Drosophila melanogaster: one gene and its partner. The protein of the gene in region 1 interacts with the protein of each later gene in a pairwise test. Each region holds a gene or a part of one and is shown on either strand. Other genes may lie near its edges.

Region 1 (7,929 bases):
AGGGTTACTCCATTATCCCTATATCTATTGTTTCTTTTGATATGTTTTCCAATCCGTTACTTAAAGTAGAATCTCTTAAGTTAACCAGTTTTAAGGCGATGCCCATTTCATGGGTTTAACATTGTCGTTTGTTTCATTGTTCACCACGCATCCTAATGGCAGTAGTAAATATATTTGAATCTATAGCCTAGCTTAAGTAACACAGTTTTCTCCTACTATTGTTGAACATTTGAAAGACATTTTGTGCGTCCAAAAACAATTAAAAGTATAAAAAAGCGTTTTTACAAACTTTCAAACATTTTTAATCATAATTTAATGGCGGGAGTCTTCTTTCAATTTGTTGCCAAGTAAACACATTTTTCCTGAGCTACTACACAGAGTGATTTTTAACAATATACATATTCAGATGGAGTTTCTTTACTAGCTGAAGACATTTGTCAGTTGTTCGTACATAGTAAATGCATACAGTGTGGATTTATCCAAAGAATATTTATATTCTATATTTATCGAATATTGTTTATTAGATGTAGCTGTTACAAAGATTAACGTCGGCCTGAAGCTCGGCCCCTTCCGCGACCCCGTGGACCACCTCGTCCGCGGGCGCCTCTGCCCCTGCCGCGATTTCCCACGCGGCCGCTGTCCTTCTTTTTTGTCTTCGACTTCGGGGTGTCGTCGATGAGGAGCGTCTCCAGCGGCAGGCTGTCCGGCAGTATAAAGTATCTGATGTTGTTGCCGCGAATGCTCAGCGTCTCCAGGTGGACGGGATCCCGGTTCTTGATCGTCATCCGAACGCTCTTCAGGTGAGTGTTCATGGCCACATCCACGCCGGTAATGGTGCCGTGGATCTGGGTGCCGTTCTTCAGTTCGATGGTCACGGTCTCGTGACTTAGCTTCATAAGGAATCTGTAATGCATCAACGGGAAGATTAGTAAACGAAATTAAGGAAATCCCTGTTGCAAAGATGCAGCATTTCAGAGATGCAAGGCTATTATAGGTAGAAACAAATATCTTATTGGGTGATTGAAAAATGAGATACAATAAGGTGTATGCAAGCAGCCTTTATGATGAAATATACTTAGTAGAGCCTTTACTTTTAGCAAATTAGTACGAATTTAAAGGTAGCTTGTATTTGGTGGCCTTGGATTAAGAGCGTTGATTGCATTGAATATAGTTATGCAAAATGCTACTTAAAGTGCAAGAATTGTTACCAGATACAAGTAAATAATGGAAAACTATTATAATAACAGATCAAAACAACATTCGTATTAAATTAAATTTTGTGTACAAAAACAACAAATGGGAGCATCGCTTTTGCATGCATACATGTGTGCAGAATCGCAGAACTCAAAAACTGAATGAAACTATACTGCACGCATTGCTAACAAGTTTAGTTTTAGTTTAGGTAAATGACGCATAACATACCTTACTAATTTCATGTTTTTATGTGTTTTTGGTGGTTTTCTGCAAAAAAAAACGCGCACAAACAATGCCGGCTAGTTTACTTGGAATTTGGTGGTTGCGGTGAACTGTTGTATCGTGTGCTAAGATAGCAACGCTCATTGGTATTGTAAAATATATCGGCTACCAAACGGAATCGTAATAAAAGTGAATATGAAGTAATAAATGAATTAATGCATTCCAGAAATAAATTATAAATTTGCAACAATTAAGTAACAATTAATGTCATACTGCTCTATAAATAAATACTTGTGTCTTATTAATTACTCATGTTAATAAATACGATTACGATTATATTATTATAATATACGATTATATTCCAATTCAGTTGTTCCAAATCCCTTGGTAACCGCAGCCAAGGGTACATATTCGACTGACTTATCGATAACGCCGCATATCGCGAAAAAAAAACAATCCAGTGTTAAGAAAATAACGATTAATACTTATTCGCGGTCGCCGTCTATTAACTGGTTTTTAATAAAACACATTTGTCGGTGTTTTGCACTCGCCGCGACATTAGTTCAACGCAGTAGAGCTTTTTAACTCAACGCAGACATCGAATATAATTTTTGACATATGTATTTATCCGGCTCGGAGTGAGAAATTAGCAAGCCATGGCGTTACTCTACCGACGCATGTCGATGCTATTAAATATAATTCTTGCATATATTTTCCTTTGTGCGATATGTGTGCAAGGATCTGTGAAACAAGGTAATGTTTCAAAAACTCAGACGAACATCATAATTGGTACATACATACGTACATCAAGAACCGTTTGTGGGTGTCAACAAATTGCAATGTCTCATTTTTTTTTTGTGTTGTTTTTGCAAATGTGAATGGAGTGTTTTACATTAAGTTGGAAACTGGAATTATCATTTGATATGGTGGTTAACAAGACGGTTGTATAGTTCTTAGATACAGTAGCACTCGAACTATGTCGGTAACGCCCAAAGATTACGGCGATGGGGTGAGATTTCAATTGGGGCTAAACAAAAGTAGTCGCGCATACATATGTACACACTTCCCGGTACATACATACGTTTTATGTTTCTGCGTACATACTTATGTACATCTATCTGATTTATCTGAAATATAATCACATATATATATATTTGTAATATTTCTTCAGCTAAATACGTGTTGATTCCGAAATTACGCCGGATTACTACCGCGAGTTTTATGGCCAATATTGTGGGTGTAGTTTCATTTTTATGTCTGGCTTTTACCGCCCATCCAGAAAAACCTTTCTTGGTGTCCATCATAAAACTTAAAATTTAATAGGAAAGTTAAATAAGAAATTTTCCTTCAATATAGTTCTAATTTGAATATTTTACTAAATCGCATAAAACCCGGAAGCTATAATCAGATTTAAATATACACAACCATTAATCAGGAAGATATATTTTAAGTCTAACATATTTTTAGGCTGACAGAAGCATGTTGCTACTAGATCGGTGTAATTTCTATAATTACGTCTATATACAAAACTGATAATTATTTTAATGAAATTTATTTACAGAGTGGGCAGAAATAGGTAAAAACGTATCTCTAGAGTGCGCATCTGAAAACGAAGCAGTAGCATGGAAGCTGGGCAACCAAACTATTAATAAAAACCATACAAGGTTAGTAACTTATTGCACAAGCATCTAAAAATATTTCTGCCCCCATAAAGATGGAATAACATAATAATCTGATCATTTTTCGATCTTTTCAGATATAAAATAAGAACTGAGCCATTGAAATCCAACGACGATGGCAGTGAAAACAACGATAGTCAAGACTTCATCAAGTATAAGAATGTCCTGGCGCTTCTCGATGTCAATATAAAGGACTCGGGGAACTACACATGCACAGCCCAAACGGGGCAAAACCATTCGACTGAATTCCAAGTTAGGCCATACCTTCCATCCAAAGTCCTGCAAAGTACCCCCGATAGGATTAAGAGAAAAATCAAGCAGGATGTCATGTTGTACTGTTTGATCGAGATGTACCCACAAAATGAGACAACTAATAGAAACCTCAAGTGGCTTAAGGACGGCAGCCAGTTTGAATTCCTGGACACCTTCTCGTCCATTTCGAAGCTAAACGATACGCACTTAAACTTCACCCTGGAATTCACAGAAGTTTACAAGAAAGAGAATGGCACCTACAAGTGCACCGTCTTCGATGACACCGGACTCGAAATTACCTCCAAAGAGATTACCCTTTTCGTAATGGAAGTGCCACAAGTTAGCATTGATTTCGCCAAGGCAGTTGGTGCTAATAAAATATACCTAAATTGGACCGTTAACGACGGCAACGATCCAATTCAGAAGTTCTTCATCACTCTGCAGGAGGCTGGAACACCGACTTTTACTTATCATAAGGACTTTATTAACGGCAGCCATACATCGTATATTCTGGACCATTTCAAGCCGAACACAACCTATTTTTTAAGAATCGTGGGAAAGAACTCGATTGGCAATGGCCAACCCACCCAGTATCCCCAGGGAATCACCACGCTTAGTTATGATCCCATATTTATACCAAAAGTCGAGACCACCGGCAGCACGGCGTCCACGATAACGATTGGCTGGAATCCACCGCCGCCAGATCTCATTGATTATATACAATACTACGAACTGATTGTCTCCGAATCGGGCGAGGTGCCCAAAGTGATCGAAGAGGCCATTTACCAGCAGAATTCTCGAAACTTGCCATACATGTTTGATAAGCTTAAGACCGCCACAGACTACGAATTTAGGGTAAGGGCATGTAGTGATCTAACCAAGACTTGTGGACCATGGTCCGAAAACGTGAACGGCACAACGATGGACGGCGTGGCAACAAAACCCACCAACTTGAGCATACAGTGTCATCATGACAACGTCACGAGAGGCAACTCCATCGCCATTAACTGGGACGTTCCCAAGACGCCAAACGGCAAGGTTGTGTCATATTTAATTCACTTGCTGGGCAATCCCATGAGCACAGTGGATAGAGAGATGTGGGGACCAAAGATTCGAAGAATCGATGAACCCCATCACAAGACCCTCTACGAAAGTGTTAGCCCGAACACAAACTACACGGTGACGGTGTCTGCCATAACGCGGCACAAGAAGAACGGCGAACCGGCCACCGGAAGTTGTCTAATGCCCGTCTCCACGCCGGATGCCATTGGCCGTACCATGTGGTCAAAGGTGAACCTGGACTCCAAGTACGTTCTCAAGTTGTATCTACCGAAGATCAGCGAACGCAATGGGCCCATATGCTGCTATAGATTGTATCTAGTTAGAATTAACAATGACAACAAGGAATTGCCGGACCCGGAGAAGCTAAACATCGCCACATATCAGGAGGTTCACAGCGATAACGTGACTAGAAGTAGTGCATATATAGCGGAAATGATAAGTAGCAAGTACTTTAGGCCGGAAATATTCTTGGGCGATGAAAAGAGATTTAGTGAGAACAACGATATAATCCGCGACAACGACGAAATTTGTCGGAAATGCTTGGAGGGTACTCCATTTCTGAGGAAACCCGAGATCATTCACATACCCCCACAAGGTTCACTATCAAGTAATTAATATAAACTTTATTTATTTTTTTTTATTTGAAACTAATGTGCTTTTCTTTAGATTCCGATTCTGAACTGCCCATTTTGTCGGAGAAGGACAACTTGATCAAAGGAGCAAACTTAACAGAGCATGCTCTGAAAATCTTAGAAAGTAAGTTAAGGGATAAAAGAAACGCGGTGACCAGCGATGAGAATCCAATTCTAAGCGCCGTCAACCCAAATGTGCCACTCCACGATTCTAGTCGAGATGTCTTCGATGGTGAGATAGATATTAACTCCAACTACACCGGATTCCTAGAGATAATAGGTGCGTAATGATTGATTTTTTGAAAGCAAAATGGTAATATCATGTTTATTTTCCTCAGTTCGGGATCGAAACAATGCCCTGATGGCTTATAGCAAATACTTTGATATAATTACTCCGGCGACTGAAGCTGAACCCATCCAATCCTTGAACAATATGGACTACTACCTAAGCATTGGGGTCAAGGCTGGAGCCGTATTACTTGGTGTCATACTTGTATTTATTGTGCTGTGGGTTTTCCATCACAAGAAAACCAAGAATGAACTGCAGGGCGAAGACACTTTAACACTAAGAGATTCTTTGAGGTAACTAGTAATTGTTTGATCTTCTTGATGTGATTTCAATTAATATTCAATTGTTTCTTCACATCAAGCAGGGCATTGTTCGGTCGACGAAATCACAACCACAGTCATTTTATAACTTCCGGAAATCACAAAGGATTCGACGCTGGCCCCATTCACAGATTAGATTTAGAAAACGCCTACAAGAACCGACATAAGGACACTGACTACGGATTTCTGCGGGAATATGAGATGCTGCCAAATCGCTTTAGCGATCGGACAACTAAAAACAGTGATTTAAAGGAGAACGCCTGCAAGAACAGGTATCCCGATATAAAGGCTTACGATCAGACGCGCGTAAAGTTGGCTGTCATCAATGGCCTGCAAACTACGGACTACATCAATGCTAACTTCGTAATTGGCTACAAGGAGAGAAAGAAGTTTATCTGTGCACAGGGTCCAATGGAAAGTACCATCGATGATTTTTGGCGAATGATTTGGGAACAACATCTAGAAATAATTGTGATGCTTACAAATTTGGAGGAATATAACAAGGCCAAGTGCGCGAAATATTGGCCAGAAAAAGTATTTGATACGAAACAGTTCGGAGATATTTTAGTGAAATTTGCACAAGAACGTAAGACTGGTGATTATATTGAACGTACCCTGAACGTTTCCAAGAACAAAGCCAATGTCGGCGAGGAGGAGGACCGTAGACAAATCACCCAATACCACTACCTAACGTGGAAGGACTTCATGGCACCAGAGCATCCACATGGCATCATCAAATTCATACGTCAAATCAATTCCGTCTACTCCCTGCAAAGGGGTCCAATTTTAGTGCATTGCAGTGCTGGTGTGGGTAGAACCGGAACCCTGGTGGCTTTAGATTCCCTAATCCAACAGCTGGAGGAAGAAGACTCGGTGTCCATTTACAACACAGTGTGTGATCTACGACACCAACGAAATTTTTTAGTCCAATCTCTGGTGCGTAGATATGGAAATTCCACTCGTAGTTGCTGTAATAACTTTCTTTTTGCTTGCAGAAACAATACATCTTTCTTTACCGGGCTTTATTAGATACTGGAACCTTTGGAAACACGGATATTTGCATTGATACAATGGCTTCTGCAATTGAATCTCTTAAGCGGAAACCCAACGAGGGTAAATGCAAATTGGAAGTGGAATTCGAGGTTTGTATAGTTTGTTATCTACTTGCAGGCGTTTTGCTTATTACTATTTATTTCAGAAACTACTGGCCACAGCAGATGAGATAAGTAAATCATGTAGTGTGGGCGAAAACGAGGAGAACAATATGAAGAACAGAAGTCAAGAGATTATACCCTACGATCGCAACAGAGTAAGTAATAGTGGCTAACTTTTATGCGAACTGTGTTTAATGTTTGTGAATGTTTTTGTGCAATTAAAGGTTATACTAACACCACTTCCGATGCGGGAAAACTCAACTTACATTAACGCATCATTCATAGAGGGCTATGATAATAGCGAAACCTTCATCATTGCCCAGGATCCACTTGAAAACACTATAGGAGACTTCTGGCGAATGATCTCGGAACAGAGTGTTACCACCCTCGTCATGATATCCGAAGTGAGTAGTGCCCTCTCTACTTTATTGGTTTCCCATTCAACTGAGTGCTTTAATTGCATTGCAGATCGGAGATGGTCCCAGGAAATGCCCGCGATACTGGGCAGATGATGAGGTTCAATACGATCACATACTCGTGAAATACGTGCACAGCGAAAGTTGTCCATACTATACTCGCCGCGAATTTTATGTTACGAATTGCAAAATAGACGATACGCTGAAAGTCACACAATTTCAATACAATGGTTGGCCCACCGTGGACGGAGAAGTTCCTGAAGTCTGCCGTGGCATTATAGAACTTGTAGATCAAGCATACAACCATTATAAGAACAACAAGAATTCTGGTTGTCGATCTCCACTCACAGTTCATTGCAGGTATGCGGCGATGCTTTGATTCATGCACTTGACGGATTAATCAATTATAAATTATTTGCAGCCTGGGAACCGATCGAAGTTCCATTTTCGTCGCCATGTGTATTTTGGTCCAGCATCTGAGGCTGGAGAAGTGTGTCGACATCTGTGCCACAACAAGGAAATTACGATCTCAGCGAACGGGACTTATCAACTCATACGTAAGTGAATTTGTTTATATTTTATTGTCAATGCATTAATTAGATGTTTATATGGTTTCTAGGCACAATACGAGTTCCTACATCGCGCAATAATTAATTATTCAGACTTACATCACATAGCCGAGTCAACATTGGATTAAGTTAGATATGTA
Region 2 (3,853 bases), on another chromosome or scaffold:
AGTCACTGCTGGCCAAGAACCACAAGCTGGACTCGGAGCTGGAGCTGCTGCGCCAAGAACTCGCCGAACTGAAGCAGCAACAGCAGCACAACACCAGATGCATCAGCCAATCCAACGCCAGCGCAGGCGCTGAGGGCTGTGCGTCCACCAACCTTGGATCTGCAGCATCCAAAGCTGACCCTCTGCCGCAGGGTATACAACAGGTGGACACACAGTCGTCAGCGCGTCTGCTGGCGGAGCAGCTGAAGAGCAGCAAGAGCCTGGCCTCACTCTGGAAAGTTGTGGCCCTCTGCCTACTCTACAAGACATGCTTGGCGTCGACGAAGAGTTCGACGTCAAGCGCCTCGAAGAGCTGGCCGAAAGTCTGCTCGCAGATATCACAGCAGACCTGGAAACAGGCGCTGGAGCGAGCAGCCCAGCTGCTGCCCAAGATGCAGGCAACGCAGAGCGATTGCCTGGACCAATGGTGGGGCCCGCAGCAGAGCGCTTGGAATCCGACGGGCATAGAGCTAATGGCCTGAATGTTGAGCAGGAACAGGAAACCGAGCACAAGGTCAGCCTAAATGTGCAGATGTTGAAGATAAATGGAAACCCACAGCATACCACAGCAGCGCCAGCCTCGAGAACAGCCACAATCACAGCGACAGCGGCCGCCTCGCAACTACAGGCCACTCCGGACACAGTGTACGGCACGTATGATGCCAAGACGAACTCGATCACCATCGTGATGGACGGGGATGCGGTGCCGGTGAACGAGGCCGTCGAGGAGATCTACTGTGACGGCGTCAGCGCTGGCGACGACTCAACGGACGTGATCATGAAGTGTCCGCCGCCAGCGACGTCTCCGTCACAGGTCTATCTCAACGTGATGAACGCCGTCGACAATTCGGACGACGAGGAAAGCTTCGATCCGATCGACCGATTCCTACGTCCGCGCGTTAAGGCGATCTCCCCGTTGGCCAAATCCCCCGCATTGTCTCTACACTCGGCCACCTCGGACCATGGATACGAGTCCATACTGGGCTCTCCCACATCCGTGGCTCTCACTCTGCCCGCAGATGAGGACGATTTCCCCTGGGAGAGCAACTTTGACGAGCTGTTTCCCAGTTTGATCTGAGTTTTTCAAGCTGAAAACTTCGTTCTGTCTCTCTTTTATTGTTAAGTTTGGCCGGCCGCCGTTTGTTTAAGTTTTTTAGTTGATAGGCTGTACATAAATTCATAATCGAAGGCTTTATATATGATACTGTAGTTAGAGCGCTAAGTTTAGCTGTAGGTTTCCATTTATATTTAACAATCTCTAACCACATAGGCTTATGATTACTCTTATATGTATGTATTGTGCTCAAAGAATTTGAAAAAAAAACATTTGACTAAAAAATATTCAAAATATAAACCAAACCAAACAACAAGCTCTTTGTTTTTGTTTACTCTAGGCGAAACAGAACTTTGAACTGCGTATGATAAATAGTTAATCACGCCACTTCTCTAGCATCACGCCACTTTTTTATGACGCAATTTCTGCGTAGATGATGGGACAGTTTTAGGTGTAAGCATATGAGTCATTTTGTTTTTATTAACCAAATATATATATATTACAAAAAGTGAGTTGAACTGACTGCAGATAATGCGGATAGGTGAAATAAAACCACAACTATGCTCTGAAATATATGCACCTTATTTATTAGTATATTATTCATTAATAAGACGAAATACAGCTCTGTTTTTCTCCAAACTGAACTAGGATTTAAACAAGATTTTGCTAAGCTCGAAAAATATATTTTTTAAAGAATATAAATAGAGCCACCCTAATGCGCCAGCAAAAGCGAATTTGTTTCGGAACTAGTTCGAAAAAGTTGTTTATAGACTTGAACCAGTTTTTGCTTACGAACCACATACCTGTGATTTTGCAGAAAGATAAACAATTTTTAAATGCAATAGAGTGTACGGTTAAACAGAAATGACGGAACCAACGAGCAAGACACCGGATGCGGTTCCGGAATCACCCGTATCACTGCCCATCGCCTCCCAATCCATGGATACGGCGACCATTGAAGATTTCGACGAGGACAAACCGGCCAAGGGAAAGAAGAAAGCCAAGAATCCAAAGGGTCGCCACTCGGATTCCGACATCGGCTCCGAACTGAAGAAGCTGGCCCAGCGCCGGATCAACGTAGCCGGTGCTCCAAAAATGCCACTTAATGGCTACGTCCGCTTCATGAACGATCGACGCGAGGAACTGCGACGGGAGCAGCCACAACGTACTGCCCTGGAGCACACAAGGATCATCGGCGAGGAGTGGCATCAGCTGCCCGAGGAGCGCAAGTTGCCCTACATCGAGGCAGCCGCCAAGGACAAGGCCATGTAAGCTCACACTTCGTTTCCAACCCACAAAATCTAAACATATCTTCCCATTTTCGTAGATATCAGGAGCAGTTGCAAATGTTTCTCAAGGAACACCCCGAAATTGTGGCCAACGAGTTGGCCAAAGCCAAGAAAGCCACAAAACTGGATGGTTCGCCCAAGGAAAAGACGCCGAAGGGTGAATCAGCCTTGGGCAAGGCGAAGAAGACCAAGGCAAAGCCGGTTAAGCGGCAGAGCGAGGATCCGGATGATGTGCCTCTGGCCAAGGTGAAGCGTGCCCAGACACCACCGCCTCCCACACCGCCAGCGGCTCCAGTACAGCCCCCTCCCAGCAGCGTGCCACCTGCGACACCTGCACCACGACCGCTGCAGCCCGGCGAGATACCCATCTACACCAACGAGTTCATCGAACACAATCGCAGCACGGAGAATGAGCTGAGGACGCTGCGCAAGGCCAAGACCGATCTGGAGCAGCAGAACGCTGTGCTGGAACAGCACGTAGATAATACGAAAGCCGGGTACGCCAAGGTGATGGGCGAGGTAACTGAGCTCATGGAGGAGAACCAACGCCTGGAGACCTATTTGCGCGCCTTGCGCCAGAAACTGGTCGCAGCTCTCGGCGGAATCTCGATGCCACCACTGGAGCCAAGTGGTCCCAGCGTTGGCAACATTGACAAGTACATCCGGCACTTAGCCGGGCTCGTCACTCAGCCAAGCAACGTCACTTTGATTAAGGCACGAGAGGCGCTGCGTAAAGTGGACACCAGTAGCTTGCTAAAACCGTGATTCATAGTACAGTATTCATAGCGTTAATAACTTCACCATAAACAATAGTCATAGTCATAGAACAATAGTTATCAATGCCAAGGATATCAAAAGAGAAAACCGAATAACAATAAAATATCCGCAGCATTTGTATGTAGCCAAGTTTTGGGAGCGCCCACTTTTGTATTTGTTAACGTCTGTAAGTTAGGAGACTACTCGTATGTACCCAAGAATATCCTCATTTTTAGTTGTCCTTGGGAGCGTCAACGCCGAGAGCGAGGCTGCGATGAGAGGGAAAACGTGGCACTTTACGTGGTCCTGCCGTGATCAGTCCGGCATCGCCATCCACGGAACTCTGCAGCCTTGGCGCCTTGGTCCGACGATTCAAACAGTTGCGTAGAATATAGTAGCCTCCCAGCATCAGGGGAATCACCATTACCGGGTGACACGCTATCCCAAGCACAAACAGAAATGTGGACATCATCAGGTTGATTAGGGCCTCTGTGGATCGGGTCGTGCCGATTGAGTAAGGCGAACATGGTCGTGAGCGATACACTTACGTTCAATGCTCGAAATGGTGGCCACTGTTGTGTAGATCGCATACGAAATGGCTTCAAGCACACTATAAATATAGTAGATCAGCATTTTGGATTTGTTGAATTTCCTGGTGGAACTGAACTGCTAAAGCGATTCGGGCAACTGGGAAAAGTCAAAAAGTACAACTGAA

The links.
Region 2: the proteins of Ptp69D (region 1) and Hmg-2 interact in a two-hybrid assay, tested with the Drosophila melanogaster proteins (one study listed by BioGRID).

What each region holds. Positions count from the first base shown.
Region 1 is NT_037436.4:12,733,081-12,741,009, forward strand, and holds the start of Ptp69D (protein tyrosine phosphatase 69D), read left to right. Parts: upstream 1-1,864; 5' UTR 1,865-2,072; coding exon 2,073-2,169; intron 2,170-2,977; coding exon 2,978-3,080; intron 3,081-3,172; coding exon 3,173-5,016; intron 5,017-5,075; coding exon 5,076-5,321; intron 5,322-5,379; coding exon 5,380-5,623; intron 5,624-5,691; coding exon 5,692-6,586; intron 6,587-6,645; coding exon 6,646-6,792; intron 6,793-6,848; coding exon 6,849-6,959; intron 6,960-7,028; coding exon 7,029-7,208; intron 7,209-7,272; coding exon 7,273-7,580; intron 7,581-7,641; coding exon 7,642-7,777; intron 7,778-7,839; coding exon 7,840-7,917; 3' UTR 7,918-7,929. Other genes in the region: small ribonucleoprotein particle protein SmD1, read right to left, coding at 543-903, 1,423-1,436. UniProt on the Drosophila melanogaster protein: Possible cell adhesion receptor.
Region 2 is NT_033778.4:21,144,344-21,148,196, forward strand, and holds Hmg-2 (high mobility group protein 2), read left to right. Parts: upstream 1-1,859; 5' UTR 1,860-1,957; coding exon 1,958-2,361; intron 2,362-2,420; coding exon 2,421-3,147; 3' UTR 3,148-3,265; downstream 3,266-3,853. Other genes in the region: Xbp1 (X box binding protein-1), read left to right, coding at 1-521; CG15657 (uncharacterized protein), read right to left, coding at 3,371-3,627, 3,687-3,771.